Notamacropus eugenii: one gene and its partners. The protein of the gene in region 1 interacts with the protein of each later gene in a pairwise test. Links are inferred from orthologs where the notes say so. Each region holds a gene or a part of one and is shown on either strand. Other genes may lie near its edges. The genes, in order: TRIM39, MED18, UBE2D4 and PRPF3.

Region 1 (7,930 bases):
TTTGCAGACATTATTTAATTCTGACAATACACTCATCATATGAGTAACAGAGGTGTTTTATTATTTACATTTTGCAAATGAGGATTTCATGAAGTTGATAGAGACTAAGTGACTCGGCAAAGGTCTTGTCAGTTAAGGAATTTTAAAAGTAAGGAAGAGCAAAGAGTCAAAATATAATTTGGAAGTTTTAAGCCTAGATGGTTGTGTTACCATCAACAAAAGCAGAAGGGACAAGTAGGGGAGGGGTGAAGGAGGTAAGAAGAGGAAAATAGTTTACACATGCTGAGTTTGAGATGTCAATAAAACACCCAGATAGGACTTGAGCTCAAGGACCAAGTGAAGATTTGAGAATAAGCCCAGAGATGAGGTGCAGGTGGGACTGCCAAGGGAGCAAGGAGAGAGAAAAAGAAAAGAGGAAGCAGAATAGAATTTTCCTATAGCCCTCTACAGTTTCTTAAAGGGTTGTTGATGAGGTAAGAAAGGAAAGCTTGAGGCAGATGGAGCAAGCATCCAAAAATGATAAGTACAGGGTACACCCCAAGAATGTTGGGGTACCACCAAGAAATAATGGAGGATATAGACAGATGGGTTGTAATGTCCTGAATTCACTTGGACAGTCTCCAAGTTTAAAAAAGGCATTTATTGGGGTGACACACCCAAGCAGGCCCTACTCCCCTTTTGGAGGTAGAGAGGAGCCCTGCCTTCCCCAGGAGGCAGAGCAATTGGCCAAGTTAGCTGTCTGGTCTTAAACACAGCTTTTTAAGGGGAGGAGGGCAGGAGGGGCAAGTATGGCTCTGGAAAGCCTGGAATATCACTTAGTCTGGAGGTGCACAGATAAGCAAGGAGAACAGGAAAGAGGGAGGAGGGGTGCTGCTCTGGAGTCTATACAGATAAGCAAAGGGAACAGGGAAGAGTAGGGGACAAGTTGTTCTGTCAGGTTAGGTTATTTCGGGTACTTTGTGAAGGCACACAGGTAAGGCCACAGTGTGGGGCTTCAATGCACAGTGTTCTTTAATCACTTTTCTGGGTAGTCACATCCTGTATCTTGTCTCATATCTCAACATCCTGCTTGCTCTATCTGCCTCTAATACTCCTTTCTACCTCATCGTTGAGAACTGCTGAACTTTCATTCAGTACAACAAACATTTAGTAAATACATTTCTCTTGCAAGGTCTGATGCTAGTCTCTGTCGATACTGTGACAAAAACAATACTCTCTGCCCTCAATTCTTATTTTCCTAGGGAGATACAATATTTATATAAATAAGCATGTACAAGATAAACTGAGAAAAGAAAGTGTAACAACTGGGGAGATCCTAAAAGGTTTCACCTTTGTGATACCTCTAAGCTAAACCTTGAAGGACAGCAAGAAGAAATATGTATGTATTATATATACAGATATCTAATTTCATATATATATACATATACTCTGTGTGTGCACATATACATATGTGTATATATATATATATATATATATATATATATTATGTACAGCCATGAAAAACAAAGAACTTACCCTAAAGGAATTTACAGTATTGGGGGAGGGGGTGAGATGGATGCACAAACAGGTAAAGTACAAGGAGAAAAAAAGCAGAGACCCAGGACAAGCACTCTAAGATCTGAGGGGGAAAAAAATCATTTCCAGCTAGGGAAATTTTTGTTGGCCATAATCAGTGTTTATCACGTCCCTTAGGGGGGTTGTTATGAAGTTTAAATGAGATAATCTGTGTAAAAGGCTTTACAAACTGTAGGATGCTATATAAAATGTCAGTGTAAGACAGATAAACACAGGATACTTGAGGACTGCTAGCACGGGTTCACTCTTGATTTGGTCAGACAGGAAATACTAAAAAGGGATTAATAATCTTACTTTAGTCTAGTTTTCTCAGAAGAGGATTGCTGATAACCAGAGCACAAACTCCTACAGCATTCCCTAATCACCCTTCTCACAGGGGATGGTGAGAAGGGGGGGAGGCAACTACCCCTACATCTCAATAGGGTCAATTCAGAAAGGCACAACTTGTGTTTCCCCTAAATCCCCTCAAGCCTCAATGGGAGCCAGTTGAGGCAAACACAGATTCCCCCCAAGCCTTGATGGGGGCCAATCAAGGCAGCACAGCATTCCAGTGCACTCAACCCTAAGTGTTGCCCCACCAAACCTCAGTGGGGTCAGTTGAGCCACACACAGCATTTGTGCATTCAACCCTAAGGGTTCCCCATTCACTATCTAGTGACCACCTATTTTATAGGCCAACAAAGAAGGCATATTGTTAGCAACAGCCAAAATGTATCTCACAGTGCAGCTGCAGTGAATGTCTATATTATCATTATATAACTATGTGCAGGCGCGGTGGAGATGTTTTGAACCATAACTGTGGGAACTCATATCTAGGACTTGGGAATTGTTGACTGTTATGGCTATGGATCCTGGGAAACTGAACTCTGAGAAATAATAGCAAAAATTCACTTTACACACACTAAAATCCACCTTACACTAAAATTCACCTTTCATATAGTCAGTTTTGAGTATCTTGTTCAATCTGTCTGACTCTCATCACCCCATTTGGACTCCTCTTGTGTTTTTCCATTTCCTTCTCCAGCTCATTTTACAGATGAGGAACTGTGGCAAATAAGGTTAAGTGATTTGCCCAGGTTCACACAGCTAAGTTATCCGAGGACGAATTTGAACTCTAGGAAAGGCACTATATACACCGTGCCAACTACACCAGCCTCTAACTATTTAGTATAGTAGGTGTTGTTTTTCTACATTCGGCTATTACTTTCTTGTAACAGCTGACCATGCCATCAGAGAAATGGTGGTCTTCTTCGACAACGAAGGACAAACACAACCTTGTAAGTAGATGCAGCTGGCTGAATGGGGACCCAGCTAGGTGAGTAACTCAACTGCTCTTCTCCTGTCTGCCTGCCCCTCCCCTACCTTCTTCTCTCCAAAGGAAGGTAAATTTGGATGGCCAAAAGATGCCCAGTTGACTTGAGTTTTACTGGCTCCTTTCCTTCCCTTCCATTCTGTTGCTTGTCTTGTCCGGTCATGACAACTTTAAACCTACTGCACTCTGAAACTGGGACTCCAATGGGCCCCTGCCTAAGAGCTCCTCTGGACTCTCCTAGCTTTACAGTGATTATCAATAGTAACTGTTGCTAGTTCCCACCCAGCCTGATGTCTTTCTTTTTCTTGACCTCATTAATGGGGCTATGCCCTGCCTACCTCTTAAACAAGCCTATTCAATGAATGAGCATAGCCTCACCCTAAGTGAGTGTCTGCAAAGACCTTAGCCTAAAGTGCCCAAGGCCTCCCACTGCATCCTGGGTTATCTCCAGTCATCCTGAGGAATATCAGGTCACTGGATTCAGATGGCTCTGGAGAAGAAGTGAGGCTGGTGACCTGCACAGCCCTCCCTCACTCAAAACAAAGTCAAGTGCAAGTCATGTCATCATTTCTCTGATGGCATGGTCTTCTTCAACAAAGAAGGACGAACACAATCTTGTAACAGTCAAACATTCAGATTAGCCAATGAGGCAACACACATGCATTTTCTCTCTTTATTTGTTTGAAGACTCACATACCCTCCCTGACTGGGGAGGCAAGTGATCTAGACCTTGAAGGTTGAGGATTTCAAAGGGAAGAGAAGTGCTGGAAGATAATCTCAGGTATGGGGGAGCAGGGTGGAATTCCAGGAAGAGTGTGGGTCCTGGATGTCTTGCGGAACAGCTAAAAGTCCAGTTTGGTTGAAACGTGGATAGTGTCCGAAGTACAAAATAAGACTAGGAAGAAAGAGGCCGTGGTTACTATGGTTGTGTATCTAGAAGATCATCCTGTAAAGGAAGAACCCAAGAAGGAAAAGACTATTGGTAGGAAGACCAATTCGAAGGCTCTTGGCAAAGTAGTTCAGGTGAAACCTCTACCAAAAATGTGATAGGACTTTCAAGATATGAGTTGCAGATGCAGTACAAAACTAAGGAGAGCTGGTGTTCAGTTCTGAAAATTTTTCAGATAAGCTTAAGGAAACTTTTGGAATTTTCTCAGCTTAAGCTAAGTAGCACTGATCGGTATCTAAGGATGTGGTCGTCATCACTCTTTACAAGTTTAGTAGCAACACCTTTCTGGCCACATCAGTTTTGCCACCGTAGTCCTGTGAATTCTCCCACATGGGGTCAAGTATCCTGCTCGAGAACCAGTTCTTGCTGCCCTTCTCCCCCTTGGAGTTCCCAAGACTGCAAACTTCCCCATTCCCAGGATTACAGACGTGGAAGAACATCTCACACGAGATGTTAGCAAAGGGGAGGTCGGGTTCGGGAATGGAACCGGGGTCTCGAGAGTTCAAGTGCACTGAGGCCACGCAGCCTCTTTCCCCCAACTTCGAAACACGTCTACCTACCAGCTGTAACCTAATAGAAGAGGGGAGGGAGCCTTCTTACTATTCTGTTCCTATAAAGCCCTTTTAAGCAAAACCTCGCTTTTCTTGTGACACCCCAGTGAACTGAACTAGTACTGTAATTCCCATTTTAGTTTTGATTTGGGTTAATCTTTCCCTCCACGGACTCGAGGAGAAATGGGCACAGCCAGCCACCGTACCGCCGGGGGTCCTGCCCTAGCTTCTCTCTAGGTTCCCTTCCCAGGCCCAGAACATGGGGTGTGGTCGTTCAGCTTTCCCATCCGAAGACCCAGACTCACCTCGCCCCGGTCCCGGGTCCGCTGAAGAGGGCGCCAGCGGCCACCTGGGCTTAACACCCCGTCACCACGACCGCTCTAGCCCGCGCCCGCTTCTCTGTGGCCTCAGGTAGCTCCGGGGCGCCTGCGCTCCGAAGCCCCGCCCACCCTGGCCACCACCCGCCCCTCTCGGAGACTTCGGCAGCTCCTGTGGCCTGTGCGCAGGCGTGCGTCCCCAACGCCCCCCTCCTTCCGCCCTTTTCGCGATGGCCTCGCGGGTCCATTGGGCGCGTGCAGCGCGACGGCCCAAACCCCCTTCTCCTTAATCCCTTCTCGCCCCAGCTGATCGGGGTTGAGCCTAGTTTATATCCACGGCTTGTTGGCGATGGCATCACGGGCTCCTCCCCCCGGCCGGCTGTGGGCACCGAGGCTTCAGCCCGGGGTGGGACTCGTGGAGCGTAGATTCCGCTTCCGGTGTGTATTGTGTGTATCTTTCGGGGGCTGGAGGAGGAGGCAGTGGCCTCGGCGGCTCCGGTACCCCGGACCCCCGGATCTGGACCTGGGGGAGGTAAGTGGGAATACCTTCCCCCTCCCTCCGACTTGTGCTACCCTTTTCTCCCTGGCCAGCTTCAGCTCTGCGTTCCAGCGTCCCCGCGCCCTGTTACTACGTCACTGCCACCCCCAGCACGTAACAATCGCCTTCCTCCTCCTGCTTGGGGGGCTGGAGCCAACGTCACCTCTGCCCTGGTGATGTCAGGGCGTCCAGCGTGGTCTAGCTGCATTGCCTTAGTGTCTCCCCTCTGCCATACTTCATTCTTAATCCTCCTCATCCTCATGCTTACCCAACTTAATGATGTCATAGACATCCTCCACTCCATCACAGCAGTCCGAGATACTCTGCTCATGCCTCTCTTTGGGGTCACCACCACCCTTCCTGCCAGTCAGAGGCCTTGTTTTCCTTACCCCTCCTGGCAGTGTCATGTTAGGCAGAGCTGGAGAGAGGAAATAAGGGTGGTCTGGGGACAGAGTTGTGGTCAATGCTTGGAAGAAAAGAGTAGTAAAGTTAGGGTCCCCCAAAGATGGGGAGAAGCAGAATGTGGGTTCCCACAAAGTTTGCCCGTCATCCACTGACACTTTCAGAGGAGGAAGAGAATCTGTTTCACCACGCACAGAGTCAGTATCTGTAGGAAGAGTTTTGTTTTTGGCTCCCCTCCATAGACCCTTCCCTCTCCAAATATCTGACCGTTTTCCTCCTTTCCCTTTCTTCCTTCAGGGCTGGGTGGTCCTTCCCTTTTCCCATCCTAATGCCCTGTTCAGTCTTGGCTCCTAAGCTACAGAGACTACAACTCTTCCCTAGGTAAGTAAACCTCTCAGCTCTTAGATGTTTTATGAACATGGCAAGAGAAGGTCTTAGAACTGGGTGCCTTAGAGGTAGAATAATATGAAAACTTAATTCATCTCCTGGTTGATGAGGAAAGGATGACACAGAAATGGCCTGTGCTAATTTATCCTCCATTTAGTGCAAATCAATAAATACTTATTAAGCCCAAGTATATCATATTAGGTGCTAGGGATGAAAAAAATGAATGCTAGTTTACCCCATTGGGGACCTTAATGAACTCAGATACGTAGGAAATTGGTTCTACTAATGGATATAGAATTTGTAAAGAATCCAGCGTCCTTTTCTTTAATATCATTTATTTCTAGGCTTCATAGACATACTATATACTGTTTATCCTCCTTTTCCCTCCTCCCCCCACCCCCCCAAAAAAACCAGTATCTAATAGTAGCTAGAGAAAATGAGTCAGGAGAAGGTGTAATGTTAGACATTCGTTTGTTTGCTGGTAAGTCTTGCTTTCTTTGGGCTATATAGAGAGTTTTCCTGGTATTAGGCACAAAAAGAGACCTATGATGTGCGATAGACTATAGGATGTATGTTCCCCATATAGGTCAGGAAGAAAGTAAAAAGTGAGTATAGGATTTGTTATAGGTTGAGCATTATATTTTTTATAGGCAGGCAAGATGAGAAGATGCATTTTTTTAAAAACATTTTATTATTGTATATGATCCAAATTTTTGTGTCAGTTATTTTCCCCCTAAACCCTACCTTGAAACAAAGAAAACCAATTAAGCAAATGAACATAATGATTGACACTTCTGAACAGGTATGCAACATTCCATTCCTATAGTCTCCCAACTTTTTTAAAGGGAGGTGCTTTCCTCATTTCTTTTACAGGGCTAAGATTGATCATTAAAATCATTCTGCTTGAGATTTGTTGTCAGATTTTGTTTACATTATTGTTGACCTAATGGAAGAAAGATATTTTGGCCATCGGATTGTATTTAGTAGAGAGTTTTGTAGATAGTTTTTGGCAGTAAGCTGTGAATTAGGTATAAGGGAATATGGACCTGAGATAGTTACGTAATTTGGATACTGGAGGAGAGAAGGAAGGATAAAGGCAGAATGAGTTATTGAAAAGATCAAGCTTACTGAGCTTTAAAGTTTTTTTTAAATCCCCACTGCTTAGCACAATATGTAGCAGCACGTAGTAGACAATAAATACTTTTTGATGGACTTGGTGGAATGGAGTAGAATGTGTTTCTGGAATGTGCTGGGGTGATCCATGTTAGAGAATCTCTAGTCCTCTAGTCACTGCTAACTAATTGGGAGTTTTGTTTGACAATTTTTCTTGTTTTCAAAGGGTAATACCTTGGGCCTAATAGGCATTACCATTGGTACTGTTGAATGTGGGTGCTACATATTTGCAACTCTTTAAATGTGTGCACCAAGATGATTAGATCCCCAGTGTTAGGAGGATGTTAAGATAAAATGTATCCAAAGAGCAGTGGAGCACTTTGTGAATCATTTGAGTCCGAACGGAAGGCAAAGTGCACACCTTTTAACATGATGTTACTTTTTGCTGGCTTTATCTATTAGGCCTTCCTGAAAAGAAGCAGGGTGGCATCCATCCTCATCCCAAATCAAGTCCTGTGAAAGAGTGGGGATTGAATGATCCATGAGGAGGTGTATGAAAAAATTGGTGAGGAATAGGCCTAGAAGAAAGATGAAGAGCAACTCTAGGAGAGAAGAATGATTGGGACAAGTTGGAGGATGGGAAAAAATAGTAGATACAGGTGAGTGGTAGAAGTTGACAATTTGGTATGTTCTAGGGTAGAGAGGAAAATGTTCATTTTATATATATCACAGAATTTTGATGGGGAGATATGCCTCCTTTTTTTAGTTATTTCAATAAAATGTTTA
Region 2 (6,887 bases), on another chromosome or scaffold:
AGAGATGTGAGGTCCAGAGCTCAGGTAAGTTCCTGGAACCCTTATACTCAAGGTTAAAAAGTTCAATTTTTGTTGCTCAAGTGTATTTATTTGGAGTCTTGATTTCTATTACGCAAAAGAACAGATCCCAATGTTAGGCAGTCCCTTTCTGTCACATTAGCCTTTTGGGATCTATCTTCTCCAAGTGAACCAAAGGCTTTAGTTGTTCAGCAAAATTTCTCATGTCATCAGAGACCATGTCCTGTCCTGCTGGTGCCACAACACTTAACTCCACAAGATAAGAGAGGGACAGGGCCTCTGTGCTATCTGTGTTTCCTGGCATCAGGATTCGGAAAATCTTGTATACCATGATTTTCATGATACCTTTTCGAAACAAGTGGCCCTTGGCAACGAACTCATGGTCCATTCGAAAGCCCATCTCCATCAAGAAATCAGTCAGGTTCTCTGACGTGGCAATGTCTACACAGTTACGTACTAGGGCATGGCGGTTCTTGTCCCCCATTTCAGGTTGTCCCAGGTAGCGCAGATGCCAGGGTGCCCCAGTCTTGTCCATCGACCTCCGGGCTCTTAAAACAAAAGGGCTAGCTTGTTGCCCCTTTAAGAGGAACACCATTTCATGGTCAAGAAAAGTCTCAGGTTCCATGTTGTCACACAGTCCCCGAAGTCGGTGAATGAGGCTCTCTAGACTGTGATCCAAAACACTTCCTAAAGGGAAGGAAAACATCACGGGAACCTCATTCTTCACTTTCATTAGGAAAATAAAAAACAGAAGGAGCATGACAGAGGACATGAATTCCTAGGAAGCTCCATTAAACCCTGAACATCATTCTAGCTTTCTACATTTCAGATAACCATCTACAAAACCAAAATACAACTTGATCTTAGAGATCACCTTACTCTAATCCTCTGTTTTTACAATGAGCCCCAAGGGCTACTCAACCTGAGTATGAATTTCCTTATCTGGAGGTCACAACCACTTAGTGGCAAAGCTTGACCCAGAATCCAAGCTTCCTATTACCCGCTCCAGAACCATACATACCATAGCTGCCTTATTTCCTGGCAAAAATGTTTATCATAACTGATTCAAAGAGGACAAAATGGGTGATATAACAAATTCCTAGGCTAACTTACCTTGAAGTAAATACTCCATCATATTTATAGTGCCACCTGTTACTGGCATCATGGTGACTGGAGGTGCCTCCATATTGTCAGCTTCCCTGAGTGATAAGAAACAAAAGAAAATCTGATTCAGAAGGGATCCTTGGATTATAGAAGTGATAGGACCTTACAGATCACTTTGCCCAATAAGCTGATTATATTTTTGTATTTTAAAGTAAAAACACTGAAATAAAATTAAACTACACATAAAATCATAGACTTCACTTCGAGAAAAGAAGCATCTGCCATCTTTAACAAGGTAACTAAAATATCCTGTTTATGTCCCCTTTTTCCCCCACTTTTTATTGTTTTGATTCTGCTTTCTTACTGGGGTATCACTTTATGGAAGCTCTCCCACATTTATTTATATTTTAATACTTGTATTTTTTTGGCACAACAGAGCACACTCCAGTGGGAATCGGAAAACCTTTGTTTTAAACAGTAGCTCTGACACTTACTGGCTACTAGGACCATGGATATATGACCCAACCTCTTTGAATCTCATTTCCCTTGTCTATGAAAAGGGGATGACACTCCTTAACTATCTTAGAGGGTTATCACATGTGAAGTGCTCTGAAAACATTGAAAAGTTAAATGCCACTAATTATTACCACTGGCTACTGCATTAATAAAATAGTGATAACATAAAGCATTTACGTTTTACAAATAACACATTGGATCTTCACAACAACTCTGGGAGATGAGTGTTGTAATTATTTCCATTTTACAGCTGAGGAAACTGAGGCAGGGAAGTTCAGTGACTTGCCCAGCATCATCCAGTTAGTTAAGTGAGGTCCAATGCTCAGTCTTTCCTCATTTCTTTTCTTATAGTTTTCCAGAAGTCCCCAACTGGATGTTTCTCCTTGGTGGGCTAGGTCTGGATCTTTCTTCTGCCCTCATGACACTTCACCTTGTATGATAGTACCTACCTACATGTCACTTCCTCTCTCATAAAGCCTGGGTTATTTCTCACCTCCTGCACAGCCCAGGTCATGATAGCTAGCCTGGGACCACTCGCTCATTACTCAAAGACCCGCCGTTTTAACATAAATCGTGCTAGATCTGGGAACGATGATGGCTTCGGACCCCTAACCGACCTAAGGCAAATCCCTTAAACCTTGGGGAGCCTCAGTTACTTTATTTGGAAAAGGGGGACGGGGAAGGAAAGGGAAATAAGACCGTGAGCCCCGAAAGAGAAAAAAACCACAACCACCCCACCCAGAGCCTAGGAATCAGAAGACTCATCTTCCTGAGTTCGAGTCGGGCCTCAGGCTGGGTCTGCCTCAGTTTCCTCATCTGTAAAAGGACAAAGCGCTCCAGGATCTGAGCCCAGAAAAGTCCAAACGGGGTCAGGAAGAGCCGGACTTAGTAAGAAACGAGTGAAATAGACTGGGGTTGGAAGGGGCCTCAGAGACCGGTTTCTAAATCTTATTTTACATTGGAAGAAACCTCGGCCTGGAGGGGGATGCTCTTTGGGGCGCCCCCCCCCCCCCATCTACCGCCGACCCCCTCCCGCGCACACAGAAGGGGCGGGCTCAATTAAAAAAATTGTGAGGCCAAACTACGCATGCGCCGCAACAACGAGAGGCTCAGCGTACCCCGGACCCTCAGGGCTGCAGAGGCTGTTGTTCCAAGGCCAGGCCAGCCCGGGGCTAGCTTCGGCTCCACTCCGCTGCCCACAGCCCCGGGGCCGAGCTCCCTCTCCCTCCTCGTCCCCCTCCCGGAAACCCGGACGCACCGAGGCCCGAAAGCCCGTGGTCCTCGCTCTCAATTCTTCTAATCAAAGCGCAGCCGGCTGAACGTCCGGGTGACTGCGAGCGAGCATGCGCACAAATCGGTTTTGGAGTCGCCGGAAAAGGAGAGCATGCGTAATGTGTGGTCCTTGCGTACGGAAGATGGCGGCCTCCAAAGAGAGTGCCCTGTGGAAGGCGCCATTCAATTCGTAGCTTCCTGGGGTCGCAAGATCTATAGCTTGAAACAGCCTACCTTACTGATCATCTTATTTGAAGGAAGGAAAAAACTAACGTTCAGACAGGGAAAGAGACTGGACCTTCAGTTTCTCTTTAAAACCAAGACTTTTTCCTCTACAAAGTCCTCTTTATTAAATGCTTCCTGTATGCAGGCTGGGCCAGCAGTCCAAGTGCTCAGCTGGACTTGAAATCAACGAGACCTGGGTTCACAAATCCTGCCTTGGATACTTAGTAACAATGTGCAAATGTGTTTAATAAGATGGTACATGAATGGCCTATATCAGATTGTCTTGGAGAGCAGGCACATGAGGGAGAGAGAGAAAAAAATGGGGACGCAAAATCTTATAAAAGTGAAGGTTGAGAGCTATCTTTGCATGTAATTGGAAAAATAATAACTATGAAATAGGGGGAAAAGGATACTTAGTCACTGACTCAAACAAGTCTTGATGAACTTCTGCCAACTTTAACGTCTAAGCAGGTTACCTTGTACAAAGACTCAGCCATCTGGTAGGGGGAGCTCCCAAGCTGAAGAAATTGGAGATCCTTTTATCCTTGTCAGCTGAATTCCAGGGGGTAAGCCTCAGATCTCTTAGGGGAAACCAGACCAACCAGAAAGCTGTCCTCTGCCCTAGTGAGTTCACATCTACTGCTGCTGAACTCCACCAAGTCTATCTCCCTGAAACAAAGTTACCTCACAGTTCACTTGGCTAATTCTATACATGTCACTTTCCTCTTTTTGGAGGAATTGATGGGACCAAAACGGGTAGCTAGTATGGCTTTATTTTGTTCACTCTGAATCATTGCATCAGTCTTTCCAAATATCTCTTAATTCTTTGTACTTGTCCTTCTCTACAGCAGAGCAACATCCCATTACGGTCATACGTTAGAGTTTAGCCATTGTGTAATGGGCACATGTTTTGCTTTCAGGTTATTGTTATTATAAATACAACATCCCTGTATATCTTTGTACTTAGAGGTCCTCTTGTGTTGTCCATGATCTACTTGGGAATACTCCTAGAAAAGAAGTCTGACATTTTGCCACCCTCCCCAATTTAAACCCTCCTTGGACCATCCTAATAGCTTCCTAAATTGTCTCCTGGTCTTTAGTCAGTCAACAAGCATTTATTAAGTACTTACTATGTGCCAGGCACTGGACTAAAGCCTTTAAGGAACTCATATTCTAATGTACAAGCAAGCATGTACATATAAAATATACATGGGAAATGGGAGGTAATCTCAAAGAGAAGGCACTAAGAAAGGAGAAAACTGGGAAAAGCCTCTTGTAGAAGGTGAGATTTGAGCTGAGTTTATGAAAAGGCAGGGCAGACAGGAAGTAATGATAAGGAGGGAGAGCATTCCAAATAGTCAGTAAAAAACAAAACAAAACCCAGAGTCAGGAGATGGCATATTATGTGAAAGGAGGTCAATACTGCTAGATAATAGAGAATGTAGGGGGAGGAGGATTGAGTTGGAAGGCAGGTTAGGGCCAGCTGGTGGAAGGCTTTAAAAGCCAAATGGAGAATTTTATATTTGATTCTGGAGGCAATAGGGAGCCTCTGGATTTTACTGAGTGGGGGTGATATCACTTTGATCACTTTGGGAGCTGAGTAGAGGATGGAATGGAAGGGGAGATACCAATCAGAAGGCTGTTCTAATAGTCCAGGTGAGAAGTGAGATGGGTATGCACTGGGATAGAGTGGGGAACCTGCCTTTAATAAAAGGATTTGTTCTGTGAAGTTTGGATTCAGTCAAAGGGCTGAACGTGAGGACCTAGAGGATCACATGTGGCCTGGAGACTGCAGATTTTCCACTAGAGTGATTACAAAAAGAGAGTTTTTATGTGAGATAAAAGTAAAGGTAGAAATGACATGACTTAGAAATAGACTGGATACATGAGGCAAGTACAAGTAAGGGATACAAGATGACACAGAGATTGGAAATCTGGGTGAGTGGGAGAATGGTGGTACCCTTGACAATAATAGGGAAGTCCAAAAGAAGGGGTGTGTTTGAGGGAGAAACACTGGAAATGCTGTTTGAGAGAACTATAGGACACTGTTTGACATGACTAAGAGGCAGTAGTGGTGGTACACCTCTGTAATCTCTCCTATTGGGGAGACTGAGGCTGGTGAATCACTTGAGCTCCAGAGTTCTGAGTTGTAGTAAAACTCAAGCTTATCCAGTATCCCCTAGTCATGAAGGGCCCTCAGGAGTGAAGGACCCCCTGGCTGTCTAAGGAGGGATGAACCAACACAAGTCAGAAACAGTGCAGGTCGAAATTTCTGTTAACTAACAAACAGTAAAATCAGGAAGAGATGGTGTGAGTTTCAGCCTGGATGAAATAGTTATTCAGTTTAAAAAAAAAAATAGAGGTGGTTGGTGATATAAGATTGGAGGTCAGGAGGGAGATTACAGCTAAATAAGTAGATTTGAAAATAATGAGCACTGAGTTGATCATTGAACCCTTGGGAGCTGATGGGATCACCAAGTAAGATAGTAGAGAGGGAGATGAAAAGAGAACCTACGATTGTCGGATACCCACAATTAGTGGGTGTTGCCCAAAGGAAGATGCAGGAAAGTAGGAGCAGTTAGATAGGAAGAGAACCAGGTCATAAAAACTTAGAGAGAAGAGAGTTCAAGAGGAGCTGGTGATCCATAGCGTCAAAAGCTGCAGAAACAAGAGAAAGGAAGAGGATTGAAGAAGCCATTAGACTGGGCAATTAAGAGAACTTAAGATAACTTTGGGGAGAGCAGTTTTAGTGGAAAGATGAGGCTGGAAGCCAGATTTCAAAGAGTTTAGAAAAAATGAAAGGAGAGGAAGTGGAAGCATCTATTATAGACAGCCTCCAACTGTTTCCACCCTATCGCTAAAATAATCTTCCTACGGAATAGTTTTACCCATGTTCCTCCCTTGCTCAAAAATTTTCTGTGGTTCCCACTGCTTTATCAACTAGAACACAAACTCCTTAGCTTATCATTTAAGCCCCTCCACAAAGCACAATGCCTTGAACATAATAGATATTTGATTTAAAAAACAAACAAAAAAGGTGATTACCTTTCTCACCTTATTTCACACGTTTCTCCTTCATATGTCCTATATTCCAGCTAAACTGGACTGCTAGATATTTCCTTATCTCCTCTTATTTCTCCCAGCCTCTGTGCACTCCTATGGGCCATACACCACACCTGAAATGTATACTTCTTCCATCTTCGTTTATAGAAATCATTCTTTTCTTTCAAGGCTCAGTTCAGCTACCATCTCCCTCTGTGATAAGGGAGGTTTCCCCTGATCCCTTCAAATGAAAATGCTCTCCTTCCTTCAGTTTTCCTAGAACACCTTTTCTGATTTGTTTTTTGCCTTTTTTTCACCTGTATTCTATCTTGTACCATACTTATTTGGGCACTTAGAATATTCCCTTGGAGAGCAGGGACTATATTTTTCTTTTCTTTTAAAAAAAATGTTTTTATCCCTTGTATCTATCACAGTACAATGCACGTAGATGGTAGGATGTGAATGGTATGTGTTGGATTTGGAGTTCAGAAAATAAATTCAGATCCTGATTCTTGCTCTGAGACCATGGGCAAGTCATTCAACTTCTCTGACCCTAATATAAATGTCAGTTTTTATTAAGAAATATTGATTGATGCAAAGATGTTTTCTTTCAGCACACATTAAAAGCTCATTATATGCAAGACGCTGTGCTAAAGAGAGGCACAAAGAAAAAAACGTGTAATCCCTAACCTCAGAGAATTTACTAGGGA
Region 3 (6,840 bases), on another chromosome or scaffold:
GCTGCCTCTCGCTGTTTTCACTGAGACACGGACAACCCCAAAGCCTTTACACCAAGTAGTACTTGGTCTTGTACTCACAATAGATGGGGACTGAGGGAGGGAAGGGTTCATTCATCACCAGTCCATTCTCCTTGTCCTACGATATAGCTATTGCTTCTCTGGATGTTGCCTTGAACATACCGGGGCCTGGGAAAAATCTTCATTTAGAAAGGCTGAAGTCATCTATCGCCAGCTGTCTTGACTTCTGTGCTGCCACTGGATTTTGAATACTCTGAAGTAGAGAGTGAGGCTGATGACTTATGCAGCTCTGTCTCACTTAAATCCAATTCACACAGCAAATCACTCTCCAGATGTCAGTGGTCTTCTTCGAGAAAGGAGGAAAAGCAACTGACTCCTGGAACCACTCTATAGAGTGTCCTGGACACCTGCAAAGTAATCTACCTCACCCTCCCCTCCCTTCTCTCCAAAGGAAGGTAAATTTGGATAGCCAAAAGATGCCCAGTTGGTTTGGGTTTTACTGGCTAGTTTCCTTCCCTTCCCTTCTTTCTCAAAACCTTAAACCTACTGCACTCTGAAGCTGAGACACCAATGGGCCCTTGCCTAAGGGCTCTTCTGGACCCTCCAGGCTTTAGAGTGATTATCAGTAGTAACTGTTGCTGTTTCCCTCTCCCTCTGATGTCTTTCTTTCTCGAGGTCTCATTAAAGGGACCAGGCCCTGGCTACTTCTTAAACAGGCCTATTCAATGAATGGGTGTTGCCTCACCATAAGTGAGTACCTGCAAAGACTTTGGCCTAAACGGCCCAAGGTCTCCCAGTGTATCCCGGGTCATCTCCAGTCATCCTGATGAATATCTGGTCACTGGATTCAGATGGCTCTGGAGGAGAAGTGAGGCTGGTGACCTGGCATAGCCCTCCCTCACTCAAAACAAAGTCACATGCTAGTCATGTCATCATTTCTCTGAAGGCATGGTCTTTTTTGGCAAGAAGGACAAACACAAACAACCATGAATAACCTGCCCTTCAAAACTGCAACATTTTTTTTTTCCTGCATAATCTTAACAGGGAAAAATGGATCTTGAACAGAACAGAAAACTTTCAAGCATTCTTGTTGAAAATACCATGGTTGAGTATAAACTTTGAAATGGGATTGGAAATTGAGAAGTAATTAGAGGGAGCAAAATGATGATGAAATCCTTACATTCTAATTGTGTGAGAACAGACGCGTCCTACTAACTTTCAATGGTCAACATGGGAATTAAGAACCACCAACATAGAAACTAGGTGCGGTTTTGTTAGTTTTAAGAGAGGAAAAGAAAAGGGTGGGGAAAAAAAATACAAGAAAGAAATGAGGAAGAAATTCACTCTTTCACATAACTGGGGCATAGGAGAAGGGCACACAAAAATGGAGGAAGGGATGGGGGAGTGGGCTTATCATCTTTACTGGGCAAAGGTGGTTTAATGTATCTACTTAACATTTATAATTTGGTGTAGAAACAAATTAAACTCAGATACTGTTGCTCAGTTGTTTTCAGTCATGTCAGACTCTTCATGATCCCATTTGGGGTTTTCTTGGTAGAGATCCTGGAGTGGTTTGTCATTTCCTCGTCTAGCTCATTTTACAGATGAGGAAACTGAGGCAAACAGGATTACAACAACAATATTTATTAAATTAAAGGTTGGGCAAGAAGCCTTGGCTCATGGTTACTATCCTTTAAGATCAGGTAGCAAGGATATGATGGCTCACCTGAAAATGTGGGTACTGTTAAGTGGATATTACGTTTTTCAAATGACTCTCCCTTTTAAAGTCTAAGAGAACTAGACTAATGAACAAATAAGAAACTAAGAACAGTGTGGGATTCCACCTGTGATCACAGATAGACTCTGCTCCCTGCTTTTAACTTGGGAAGTAGTGGGCCTTCAGTACACTTTGAGCACTATTTCTATCAATCCTGCCCTAGTCTTTCTCTTTACCCCAGTTCTAATCCTTTAGCATTTCTGTCTTAGCTCCCCTCTACTTTGATCAATAGACATTTATTCAAACAGCAAGCACTTATTGAGTTTTATAGTGTGCAAAGCACTGTGTTAAGCACGGGGCTCTGTCCTAGGTTTTAGAGAGGGACAGGAACATAGGATGTAATTCAGAGTTTTAATCTGTATTTGATCTGTTTCTTTGAACAGCTTATTCCCCATACCTGGAATGCTCTCCTTCCACAGAGATGGGATGTAGAATGGTAAATTGTGGAAACAGCAAGTAGACCCATGTAGTTGAAATGTAGGTACATGAAGGGGAATCCCCAACTTGGGGACCCTCCCCTTTCATTTCCCTTTTATGGGCTCTTTCCCCCTTGGAATGTAAGGTACTTGAGGGCAGGGTCTGCCTTTTTGCTTGTATTTCTATCCCCAGTGTTTAGCATAGTACTTGGCACCTAGTAATTTCAACCCCCTCATTTGACAGATGAGGAAACTGAGGCACAGGCAGGTTAAGTGATTTACCTGAGATCACCCAGCTGGTAAGTATCTGAGGCAAGATTTAGTGTAGGTCTTCCTGGCAAGTCTCCCACTCTATTCACTCAAAAGTGAGGAAGGGAAGGATGGTTTGGGGCAGGGAGACAGCCTACTTCTTTGAATTCCACAGCCCTTGCTGGGCCCTGGAGAAGCAGCAGAAACCCAAGAGGTGACTGCATCCAGTATCTCTCTTCTAGCCCCACATCTCTGTGGATCCCACATTGACCAGCCCCAGCTTCCTTATCCTCTTTATATACCTTCCCAGTCCACTTTCACCACCTTTCCCTCTTTTTCCATTCCAGTCTACCCCTCTATCCCAGTTCATTCTCTCCAGCATCTTCATCTTCCTTTTCTTCAGTTCAGCATTTAATTTCACAAACTGGGTCCTTTCTACCTTTCCCATCTTCTTGTACTTTGCTCCTCTGGGGTGGGGTACTGTACAATTGACACCAGCCTTCTAGTTCACTCTAAGCAAAGCCTTTTTCAGTGTCCCCTATACAGGAATGCCCCGTCCCCCTCCTATCAAGACTCAAAATCCCATCTTCTTCGATCCTTTCCCAATCTCCCCTCCTACTAGTGCCTCTCCCCCTCAGATGACTATTTTCCATGTAATAATAACAACTATTATTTAAATAACACTTAAAGATTTGCAATGCTTTACAAATATTGTCTCATTTTATCTTCACAACAGCAATGGATGATAGATTCTGTAATCTCCCCATTTTTATAGGTGGGGAAAAGGAAACACTCGGAGGTTAAGTGACGCATCTAGCGTCACCCAGCTAGTCAGATGTCTGAGGGAGGACAAAACCCTGATCTCCTTGACTCCAATTCCTTTGCTCCCTAGGTATTCTTACAGAAATGGCTGTTTGCCTGTTGCTTCCCTTGTTAGACTTTCAGCGCTAGGACTGTTTCATTTACTTTCTTTGTACCCCCAGAGCTTAGCACCCCTGGCTAAGCTGGCACTTAATAAATGCCTTTTGAATGACTGAGGGAGCTCCCTCTACTTGGAGAGGAAGGGATGCAAACAGCCGGCGGTCAGTCCCGGACGCTGGCCAGCCACTCATCCTCCCCTAAGATTTGAAGCTGGAAGGGTTCCCAGAGGTCATCTCCACCAGTCTGGCTCCTCATTCAACAGATGAGGAAACTGAGGCTCTGAGAAGTGATCTGCCCAAGTGTATGAAAAGTGTTTGGCAGAGAGAGGCCTGGCCATCAAGGGAGGGGCAGAAGAGCACCAGCCCAGGGTCTCCCTCCTCTAGGGAGATCACTTCGTAAAAAGGCTTTTGCTCGGTACCCCAATCCCAAGCCTGACTAAAAAGAACTACAACTCCCACAGTGCCCCGCGGCCGGCCCGCGCTGCGCACGCGCCACCAGCCGAGCTCCTCCCCTTGCAGAGAGCTGCGAGGCGGCCGAGCCTAGCTGTGCTGCCTCCCGTGGCCGTCCCTCGGCCCCGGGGCTGAGTCGTGGTCCTGCAGCGGGTCGTAGGATGGCGTTGAAGCGGATCCAGAAGGTAAGCCTCCCGCTTCCCCTCATCCTTGGCGAGAGTCCGGAGACGGAGGAGCCGCAGGCGTCGGCTCCACCGCTACACAGAGAGCCACGGCAGGAGGCGGCGCCGCGCGCAGGCGCGGGAAAACTTGTGGCACCTGCCAGGGAGTGAGGCGGCGCCTCGTGCGCCCACTGCCTTACAAGGGAACAGCACGGGGCGGGGGCGGGGCCACGCCGGGGCGCGGGGTCTCGGGGTGGGCGGGGCGGGGCCTGGGCGGAGCTAGAGGCGCCGCCGGCCAACCACGTGCTCCTTTGTGTGTTTCCCTTTCTGCTGGCCGGCTGTTGGCGTGAGGGGCGTGTCCCATTCTCACTTTTTCTCCTGTTCTTGCGCCGCCCCCTCTGCCCCCTAATAGCCCAAGAAAACTAGCAGTCGTCCACCCCCAGGCTCCCCGCCCCAGTGCCAGGCACACAGTAGGTGCTTAATTAATGCCTGTCACCTCTCCCCCTTCCTTTATGGTTATAGATGCGGAGCTGGAAAGGACCTTAGCAGCCTGATAATTAGATTCAACCCATTTTAAAGATGAAGAAACAGGGTAGATTTAGAGCTGGAAAGGACCTGAGAGCTTAATTCAGGTGGGGAAACTGAGGCTCAGAAGTTAAGTGATCGCCCCTCTGCATCTTGGGAGCATAGATTTGAGCTGGGAAGGAAGGACCTTGGAGGTTATCTGGTTCAAGTCCAGGGTCCATCATGGATAGACCTGAGCCCAGTTCCTTCCTGAAATCTGCTGGCCTTCCCACCACCCACTGTGCCTGAAAAGTTACTTAGACTAATTTCTGCCCTTTGAATTCTGTTTCCTCCACATGCCCAAAACTGACTTTCACCTTTTTACCTCCATTAAGGGCTGAAGTTTCCCTGCTGTCCCGACTGTAGCTCTAACAGCTCCTGGTAAATAGTTCATCAGTCTTCTAGGACCATTGGGAGCATTTAGAACTGGCCTGAGATTACTTCCCATTTACACAGTGTCTGTCTTGTGTGTCCACCTAGTATACCTAAGCACAGTTGTTTGCCTGTTTGTCTCCCCATTTAGACTGTGATGAGCTACTTTTAGTTTCTCTTTTATGCTTTGTGTGCCAGGGCACGTTATTGAAGTACTTAATAAAGGTTTGTTGACTGACGGGGTGGTTATCCTAGAGATCATTTAATGCTCGCTGTTCTTCAACTCCCTGCCAAAACTTGGTATGTAGGCTCTTCCAAACTATTAAAACTTAAAACCACACTAAGACTTTTGGGACATACTAATATTATGCATTTATTTGTCAGGGTTCCAGTTGTCCCCCTCCCCCAATACCTGGCTTGCACTGGGCACTTAATAAATGTTTGGTGAATTAAATAGTTCACCTTCATAATTCTGATGAAGAAAACAAGGGCCAAGAAATGAAAAATGACTTGTCCAGGTCATGCAGTGGGCAGATTTCAAATCCAGGGCCATTTCTTTGTAGGATGCATTCTGCTTGTTCCCATAGGCTGTTTGTGATCGCTGCAGACTTGCATGTTGGCCAGTTCCAGAATGGTTGCCACTTCTTATTGTGGTCCAGAACTGTGATTTTATTGGTGTGTAGGAAACTTCCTGTAAGGAAATGCAGATCTCGGAAACCACTGTAAGGTGAAGGGCCCTAACCCATACTCTGTCTCTTACACACACATGTACACACACACATACGCACACACACACACTTTCAGAGGCAGGACTCAGAGGCCAGTCCTTTCTTTATGACACCTCTCTGCCTTTCTAATTCTTCTGCTTCAGTCTTGTTAAGTTCTTTTGGGATTAAGGCTTTTTGGTACCCATTAGTTTGGCCCTCTGCCATACTGTGCAGAGTAGAGATTGCCTCCATCTTGGAGTTAGGATCATAAAATTACTTAGGGCTTTGGAAGGGACCCTAAGAAGTCTTCTAGTAGAACCTCCTTGTTTTACCAGAGAGGTTAAGTAGCTTGACTAGGGCCACAACCCTCCAGTTCTTTTTTCATGGGCTCTTCTTTCTTGATTTCTTGATTTCTCTTAGAACATATCTTTGTTTTCCTCCTTGTTACCAAATTCCATTTGGACTTCCTTACCCATTCACTTCCTGTGCAATTCCTCATAGTTTCTTTGGGATGCTTTTGATAGATAACCTTTTGACTGTACCTGTTTTACCTATACAGCTCAAATAATTTTGTGCCCTCATTTCTTCCTAAGGCTTGCTTATTAAGCTAACCTTGATGAATTTGTCTTGGTTCCATCTCAGACTGGGTGTGCAATCCAACTTTCTTCTGGGTTACCTTTGTTTGCATGGTGATCATCTATTCCAGTGGGTTATATCAGCATACTGCTTCTACTTCGTCCCTAGATATCCATATTTCTGTACGTGTGCGTTCATGCACTTAATGCATATCTGTGTCTTTGTATATTCTGTGTATTTACTTACTGATATCCTTGTTGTGCCATGTCCCACTTGTGAATGTCAGTTCTTTGATGATAAGGATTGTTGGTCTTTGGTCATTGAGGCAAACCCTCTTATCTTACAGATGAGGCAAGGGAGGTGAAGTGATTTGTACAAAGTCACACAGAAATAACAAAGACAAGATTTCCATGCAGGTCCTCTGACTTCAAACTTGATGCACTTTCTACTGTACCAGGCATATGTGTTCAGGTACATACATATGTACCTCTGTGTGTGTATGTGTGCGTGCTTGTGCCTGAGAATATAAATACAAAAAACATTCGTAGATTTGTCCCAATTCTGTAGCATAAAAGCAGATGTTTTGTTACAGATTATGTTCATGTCATAATTATCCAGAGTAACTTTTCT
Region 4 (7,645 bases), about 220 Mb from region 1:
CAGAGAAAATATCTTTATACCAGACTTGGACTATCTAGACCAGTACTTCTTAAAACTATGGGGTCCCAACCCACAGTTTGAGAGCCGAATGGGTGGAGAGTGGAAAAAGTTTAAGAAGCCCTGATCTAGATAAAAGGATCCGTCTCTGCCCAAGTTTGAGTAGAACACAATGGACTTCCCCATCTGAAATTAAATTCCTTGTAGAGTTGGGTTGGGTCTGACCAATATTAGGGAGAGTTAATTCAGTCTCATTATTAGTAATGTCCTTTAAGAGATTTAACTTTTTAAAATCAGGAATTTGGAAGAAAAGGAGAGCTCTAAATCTCCCTAAGATACTGGTTATTAATAATCATTTCTCTCACCAGCTCCCTCTATTGCATACTATTTTGTCCTGGATAAAATGGAAGTGACCCAACCTGACATTTCAAGTCCTCCCCAGTTTGACTCCAATTTATCTTTCCAGCCTAATCTCACACTACTTCCTTTCATACTCAAATTCTAGCCGAAATGAAATACAACAATTGCCTCACTTAGCATTCTGTCTCCTGCCTTTCTACCCAATGTATCCTGTGTCTGGACTTCAATTCTCTTCCCTCCACTTCTGAATATTTATTTCACTCAGGTATCACTGGGTTCTGAAGTAGAAAAGGCACCAGGCTTCAGACTTTCAAGTCTGTCTGACACTTTATAACCTGGGGCAAGTCATCTCAATTCTCCCGGGTCCCAGTTTCCTTAATTGAAGTGAGTGGGTTGGAGTGATAACCTCTAGATGGTTCCTTTCAACTTTTAATTTTTCATGTCCATGATCTGTTCACTCAACCATCCTCTGTGAAGATTTGTCTAAGTTGTAAGAGATTTAGATCACTGATGAATATTTAAGAGTTTTAGTTAAACCACTGGAATTAATATCTATAAGTCAGACTCAGATTTACTTGTACAGGCCTCAGTAGTAGAGTTTGTAAGTTTGGGTTCCCTAATTCTAAAGGCTACAAACTGGACCTGTCTCATGAGGGAGATAAGGAGGATGGATGGAAGATGATTCAACCTGGTCAAATGAGATAAGGAGGATGGATGGAAGATGATTCAACCTGGTCAAATGTTTTGCCGAACACTGGATCTCTTAGGTATTGAGTGGTATATGGCATGAGACTTTTCAGAGGATGTTGTTCAACTCTGTATTTTTCCTGTTGCTATAGATTCTGAAAACTCCCTCTTGCAAGTCAGTATGATTAAGCAAAATGTATAGCATACCCTTTGCCTTTCTTCTAAACCAACCAACAGTCCTAGTTTACTTTGCATCACTGGACTATTTTTGGTACTCTTTATAACCTATCTTTTCAATTGTATAAAAAGCTGCTCTGATTGTCAGAACTGTTTCTGATTACTAATGAGCCATTGCCCTACTTTATTGGCAACTGTTTACATTGCTAATAAATCGATCATGCTTGGAATCTTGTGTCTCAGTGTCTCTTAATTGCAAAATTTTCTCAAGACTGTTGTTAGTACTTTATCTCTCCTTAAATCACGTGAGATTTACTTATCTTTTTACATGTATCTTGATGTAATGTAGGTCCACTGAGGGCAGGCACTTTTGTTTGCGCATTCCCAGCATCATTCAGAATACGTAAATAATAACTATCTGTGGAATTTAACTGACGTAGGTTTATTGTGAGGAAGATGGAAGCTGATCCAGGACATACAAAAGCAAAGAGGTGGAAATGGAGAAATGATGCTGAAGGAAAGCTGCCTGTGCCATAAGGGATTTACTGAAAAAGACTTTTTTCCCATTTGAAAAACACTGGTAGAAATTACTGCTTCATTTTCTAATGGTTAGGACTCTTGTGCATTTTAAAACTGTGGCAATATTTAATAAATGTGTTAATTAACATCTTAGACATCTGTATTATATCTTTAGAAAAATAAAAACAATAATATTGAGTCCTTATATACAGGATATTGTCCCAGACACCGCCATGGTCAAGGACTGCCACTTGTATTAAAAATTATATTCTCCAATTCAAAAATTTTTTTTTCCTTTTTTGAAAACGAGTCTCTCTTTCTCACTCACACTGGAAGCACAGTGGCCACTCCTGGGCTCCATCCCACTTCTCATCTTCACAGAAGCTTTGACCTGCTCCATTTCTGACCTAGGCCAGTTGAACTTTCTTAGGCAGTTTGGTGGCTTTTGCTCCTGGGGGCTTATCATATTGATGCTGGATTTAGTTCATGCACTTGATTGGTTTAGAACATCCCAGCTTAAGAGATCTACCAGGCTCTGCCTCCTCAGGAGCAAGAATTACAGGTACCCAACTCTATGGTCCAGCATAAGGCTGATTTGTCTAAGGTTCTAGAACACAGATGAGGGGCAGTGTTAGTTATATTTCAAATGGTGCAGTGATTTTTCTAACCTGGCCACAAGTTCACTGTTACAGAATTCTAACACATCAATAAGGGGCTAAGATCTAAAAAGGGCCAAAAAACAATTACTATTATTAACAGACAAATGAGAAATAAAAACTTTGAAAACGAGGAGGGATATTTCAGGTACTTAAAAAATGACTTTGCTAAGGGGAATTTCTCCCCTCCAACTTTTGAAGTTTAATTCATATCCCTTCTCTTCTCTTTCTTTTCTTTCTACTAGGCAAATTACTTTAACTCTCAACTTCAGTTTACTCACCTGAAAAATAAGGGGGTTGACCTCTGAGGTTCCTTTCTGCCATAAATCTGATTTTTCATATGGTAATGATCTTCCTTGAACTAACTTCATAATAACTAACATTTATATAGTTTGTTTTTTAATAACTTTATTCCATTCTGTCTTCTCCCCCTCTATCATTCCAACTCTCTCTTTTCTTCAGTCTGTCTCCTGGCTACTGCCTACAAATATGTTCATGTCTCCTCCATCCTTAAAAAACCCTCACTTGATCTCCCACCCCCTTCCCTGCTATCATTCTATGTCTTTTTTTTTTTTTTTTTGTATGACTAAACTCTCTGAGAAGGCTATCTGTGATCACTGGCTCCACTTCCTTTCCTCTCACTCTCTTCTTAGCCCTTAGCAGTCTGACTTCTAACATCATAATTCAATGGAAACTTTTCAAAGTTAGCAATGATCTTTTAATTGCCAAATCTAATGGTCTTTTCTCAATCCTTTCTGCAGTCTTTGATAGTTAATCACCTTCTTTTCCTTGATAATCTCTTTTCTCTAGGTTTTTATGACACTTCTCTCTCCTGGTTCTCCTGTATGATTGCTTTTTCTCAGTCTCCGAGATGGATCTTCATTCAGAGCATGCCTATTAATCATGGGGAAACCCAAAGGCTCTATTCTGGACAATTACTGCACTTCCTGATTTCATCAATTTCCAAGGATTCAACTATCATTTCTATATAGATGACTTTCACATTTATTTATCTATCCCTAACCTCTCCTAACTTCTGTTCTTTCATCCTCAGCTACCTATTGGACATCTCAAACTGGATGTCTCAGTGACATCTTAAGCTCAACATGTCCAAAACAGAATTTATCTTTTCCTCAATCTTCTCCTCCTCCTAACTTCCCTATTACTTCTAGGATGCCACCATCTTCCCAGTCATCAAGGCTCACAACCTAGGCGTCATCCTCAACTCCAAACTCTCACTCCCCATAGCCTGTCAATTGCTAAGTCTTGTTTCTTACATTTCTTGATACAACTCCTTCTCTCTGACACTGCCATCATGCTGGTGCAAGCCTTAATCAACTCACACCTGGACTACTGCAATAGTCTGCTGGTGGGTCTGCCTGCCTTAAGTCTCTGCCCCTTCCCCTTTCAGTCCATCATCCACTCAGCTGTCAAATTGGTTTTCCTAATGTACAGATCTGACCACGGTTCCAGACTGCCTCCAAGATCAAATTTAAAATCCTCTATTTGTTTTATCCAAAGTCCTCTACATCTTGGTCCCTTCCTATCTTTCCAGTCTTCTTAACATCTTAACACCACAGCCTTTCAACCTGGTACTCTGCAATCCGGTGCCTCTGGCTTCCTTGCCGTTCCTCCAGCAAGGTAATCCATCTTCCACTCTAGGCATTTACACTGACTCTCCCCCTCGCCCAGAATGTTCTCACCTCTGCCAAGCTTCCTTGGAGTCCCAACTAAACTCCCACCTTCTTCAAGAAGCCTTTCCCAAACCTCCTCAATGCCAGTGCCTTCCCTCTATTGATTTAGCCTGTATACGGAACGTTTGTATATGGTGGTTGGCAAGTTGTCTCACTAAGGGTTTCGGAGTGTTGTACGAGCTTGTGGAAGGGGCGGTGCTAGGAAGTGTTCTTAAATAGCGTCTTTGCCCCATTATCCCCACTTTAAAGACGAGGAGGGATAGCTGGACGCTCTCCGTAAAGCCTCTCGGGCACCCGCCGAGTGAACCCACGCGCCGTGTCAGTAAAGGGCACCAAGACTGGAAGCCCGCTTGATTATTCACACTTTACCAGATCCTAGCACGGTGCTCCACACCGGGTCCGCGCTTACTAAACCTGACTTTGCACGCGAAGGCCAAGGCTCGGGGAAGACATCCCAGCCTTCGACTTCATCCCCAACTTTCGCATAAAGCGCTCGCTTCCTGCACTGGGGAAACGTCTGTCGGCTCTACTTCCGTTTCCGGAAGAATGAACTTCCGGTTTTCCGCACGGGATAATGGTGGGCGGATAGTCCTGGTCATCTCAAGTCCTCCTAGGCTTCGAAAGAACCGTGCGCATGCGCCGAGACGGGTGGGCGGGCGAGCGAACCTCTTCGCATTTCTCTGCACCCTTTGGGCTCGCCACCGTCACGTGCCAGGGGCGCCGGGCGGGAAGCCGCGTGGCGGAGGCAGCGGTAACGACGGCAAGCCGTAAGGTCGGCCGACTTCCGGTTCCGGTGTAACGTTCGGGCTCCGTCTCAGGGGCTGAAGTTTGTGAGGTGAGTAGCGGGCTCGGGCCCAGTGGGGCTGGCTGTGGGGCCTGGGGGCTCAGCCTCCTAGCCCTGGCCGCAGTCAGAGCCCAGTTGGAGGTGGCGATCCCTTAGGCGAATGGGCCCAAGGGAGAGTGGCCAAGGAGAGGTTTCTGAGGGGGAGTGGGGTGGCGGGGATTGTAGGGAGGTAAAGGGCGGGGGCGGGAAGGGCAAAAGAGGCTCGGACCGAGGTGAGCTGCCCCGGGACAACCGGGGGGTGGGGGGCTTAGGTCAAAGGGGAAAAAAGAGCGGGACTGGGGAAGCATCCCGAGTGGAAACTTCCACCCTGAGTCTTCACTGGGGCTCATTTGGCCTTCCTAGTGGAGGCTCCACTTTAGTATGTTGTCATCTGCTCAGTGACATGTCAAGTTGTGATCCCCAAAGCTGATTTGTGTACCACCCACACCCTTTGTTTTGTTTTCATATCAAATGAACTAGCATGTGGTGGTGAGGGTTTCGTTTACAAGCGTTCAGAGCCCTAGCTATATTCCAGTCCTTTAAACGCTACGGATGTGATGATGACCAAGGTTTTTACTTTTGTCGTTTTTTAAGTATTTACAAAAGAAGCTCTCTATTTAACTTGATCATTACAACAATCCTTTGAGCATAGGCAAACCCTTTTGTCTTAGTCCCTGTTTTACAAGTGGGATACTGAAAGCCCGAGGAATTAAGTTGCTCATTCCCTACTCTTGACAACACCAGGATCCCTCTTAATACCATGCATGATAACATTCTCTGTATTCGCAGTTCAGGAATATGTATGGTTGAGTAGGAGTTTAGGAAAACATAGTCTTTTTCAGTGATTCCTTAAAATGATTGAGACCCTCTTGGGCTCTTTTGTCATCTAACTGATAGGTGAATAGACCTCTTAATGAGTTTTCTTTCAGCAAGACATATGCTGGATACTCAGATACTTCAGAACATCCTGTATGTGGTCTTTTTCCTTTAGTTTCATCTGTTCTTTTCCAGGCCCCTCTATCCCACTTTATTCCAAATTCAAAATCATAGTTTGGTGGTAATTCCGAGTGTGAACTTGTACAGATCTGTACTGAAATGTTGTTCTGAAATGAAGACATTAATCATTATATTTCTCATAGGGAAAAGATGTCTTAGGATATCCTAAAGAAGATCATTTACTTTTAAATGAAGAAAACTGGAATCACAAATTGGACAGAAACTCTGGTGTATGTGCTTACTTAGATTTGAAAAGGTTAAATCAATGAGTAATTATTTTCTCCTGTGTCCTGAGCACTATACCAGATGATATAAGAAGAATACTTAAGAAAATAGCTTATGTCATTGAATAGCTTCTGATTTAGCTAGACAAGTAAAGGTGTGAATATAAATGACAGTCCTGCTTAATAGAATGTTCAGTGAGAAGGTCTATTGTTCAGAAGACTCTTCAGTGGTTTCTTTTTTCTTTGCTGAACTCAAGAATTAGATTAGAAGTAAAGAATTGTCAGTCAGGAGAGGAGGAGGGTGTGCATCTTCATTTCTGTGATCCTTGTCAAGCACCCTGTCAGAATGGTCTGTCATGTAAACTTACATTATGAGAGGGTTGGTCAGTCATACAGTTTTTATGTGAAATTAGGGTATGGTGTCATGAAGAGAAAAATCTGTAAAGGAATGTGCTTAGAAGTTGTGAACCTTAATATAAAATTGGTGTTTAACTCTACCATAAATACTTCATGACCCACTGACCTGTATTAGGATCCCACAGAAAAGGATTCTGTCAGTCAGAATGAGGTTAGGGGAGGCCATGCATGAGCCTGATGACTTCTGAAAGACTTCTGCTATATTTCCATATTGTATAATCTGTCAGGCTCTGTAGATCTAATAGTATAAGGAAGGAAGCACCAGAATACAGTTCTCAGCTCAATTCCCCCTGGGTTAGCATAAGAGATGCTCTCTTTTGGATTTATTTTTTACAAAGATTGTTACCAGGGGGATGAATTTATCTGTAATTGTAGTAAATTAACTTGCCCAGGGGTGCAGGAGGTAGCCGGGGGAGAAGTCATTTCTGATAAAATAAATGTCAACCTGTATTATTTTCAGTCTCCTACCCTTCCCAATCACTTTCTCCTTTTTCCCTCATAGGTGCTGTGTTGAGTATTCAAGGTTGTCTCACTGTCTGTTGTCCTTTCTAAAGAATGGCCCTGTCCAAGAGGGAGCTGGATGAGCTGAAGCCATGGATCGAGAAGACAGTGAAGAGGGTGTTGGGTTTCTCAGAACCCACAGTGGTCACAGCAGCGTTAAATTGTGTAGGAAAGGGCATGGATAAGAAGAAAGCAGCTGGTATGTATTTTTTTTGGTTCCTGAATATGTCTCTCAGCCTGACTCTCAGAACTGAAATATTTGAAGCATTCGTAGGGTTAAAATGATGTTGGAACTTTGAAGGGAGAAGGCTCTATTTTTCTTGTGCTGGGTAGTGAGAATAGTCAGTTTGCTTTTGGATTATCTGCTGAGTGTCTTTTGAATCCCTTGCTGATTTTCTGCATATGTCAAAGTTGCCTCAGTCATGTATGCTTACGATATATTTTATGTACAAAACATGTTTATAGACAATACTTGCTTTATGTAAATTTGCATTATGTAAATTCAACTTTTTGTAAAGAATTCTGAAAGAAATCCCCATTCCAGAAAACACCTATGTTAACTACAATGCTTTGATTTCTCTCTTCTCCATTCCT

What was found.
Region 2: the proteins of TRIM39 (region 1) and MED18 interact in binary tests that used the Homo sapiens proteins (3 or more experiments, as listed by UniProt). The two-hybrid records come from large-scale screens. The link is inferred for Notamacropus eugenii from reciprocal best matches to the Homo sapiens genes TRIM39 and MED18.
Region 3: the proteins of TRIM39 (region 1) and UBE2D4 interact in binary tests that used the Homo sapiens proteins (3 or more experiments, as listed by UniProt). The link is inferred for Notamacropus eugenii from reciprocal best matches to the Homo sapiens genes TRIM39 and UBE2D4.
Region 4: the proteins of TRIM39 (region 1) and PRPF3 interact in binary tests that used the Homo sapiens proteins (3 or more experiments, as listed by UniProt). The two-hybrid records come from large-scale screens. The link is inferred for Notamacropus eugenii from reciprocal best matches to the Homo sapiens genes TRIM39 and PRPF3.

What each region holds. Positions count from the first base shown.
Region 1 is NC_092873.1:84,398,491-84,406,420, forward strand, and holds the start of TRIM39 (E3 ubiquitin-protein ligase TRIM39), read left to right. Parts: upstream 1-4,924; 5' UTR 4,925-5,236; intron 5,237-5,443; exon of another isoform or gene 5,444-5,841; intron 5,842-5,941; 5' UTR 5,942-6,025; intron 6,026-7,606; exon of another isoform or gene 7,607-7,803; intron 7,804-7,930.
Region 2 is NC_092876.1:69,439,595-69,446,481, reverse strand, and holds the start of MED18 (mediator of RNA polymerase II transcription subunit 18), read right to left. Parts: upstream 3,007-6,887; 5' UTR 2,897-3,006; exon of another isoform or gene 2,757-2,896; intron 1,218-2,756; 5' UTR 1,205-1,217; coding exon 1,132-1,204; intron 706-1,131; coding exon 152-705; 3' UTR 1-151. UniProt on the Homo sapiens protein: Component of the Mediator complex, a coactivator involved in the regulated transcription of nearly all RNA polymerase II-dependent genes.
Region 3 is NC_092872.1:716,918,039-716,924,878, reverse strand, and holds the start of UBE2D4 (ubiquitin-conjugating enzyme E2 D4), read left to right. Parts: upstream 1-3,839; 5' UTR 3,840-3,991; coding exon 3,992-4,015; intron 4,016-6,840. UniProt on the Homo sapiens protein: Accepts ubiquitin from the E1 complex and catalyzes its covalent attachment to other proteins. In vitro able to promote polyubiquitination using all 7 ubiquitin Lys residues, but may prefer 'Lys-11' and 'Lys-48'-linked polyubiquitination.
Region 4 is NC_092873.1:304,220,164-304,227,808, forward strand, and holds the start of PRPF3 (U4/U6 small nuclear ribonucleoprotein Prp3), read left to right. Parts: upstream 1-4,633; 5' UTR 4,634-4,925; intron 4,926-6,052; 5' UTR 6,053-6,139; intron 6,140-7,052; 5' UTR 7,053-7,105; coding exon 7,106-7,250; intron 7,251-7,645. UniProt on the Homo sapiens protein: Plays a role in pre-mRNA splicing as component of the U4/U6-U5 tri-snRNP complex that is involved in spliceosome assembly, and as component of the precatalytic spliceosome (spliceosome B complex).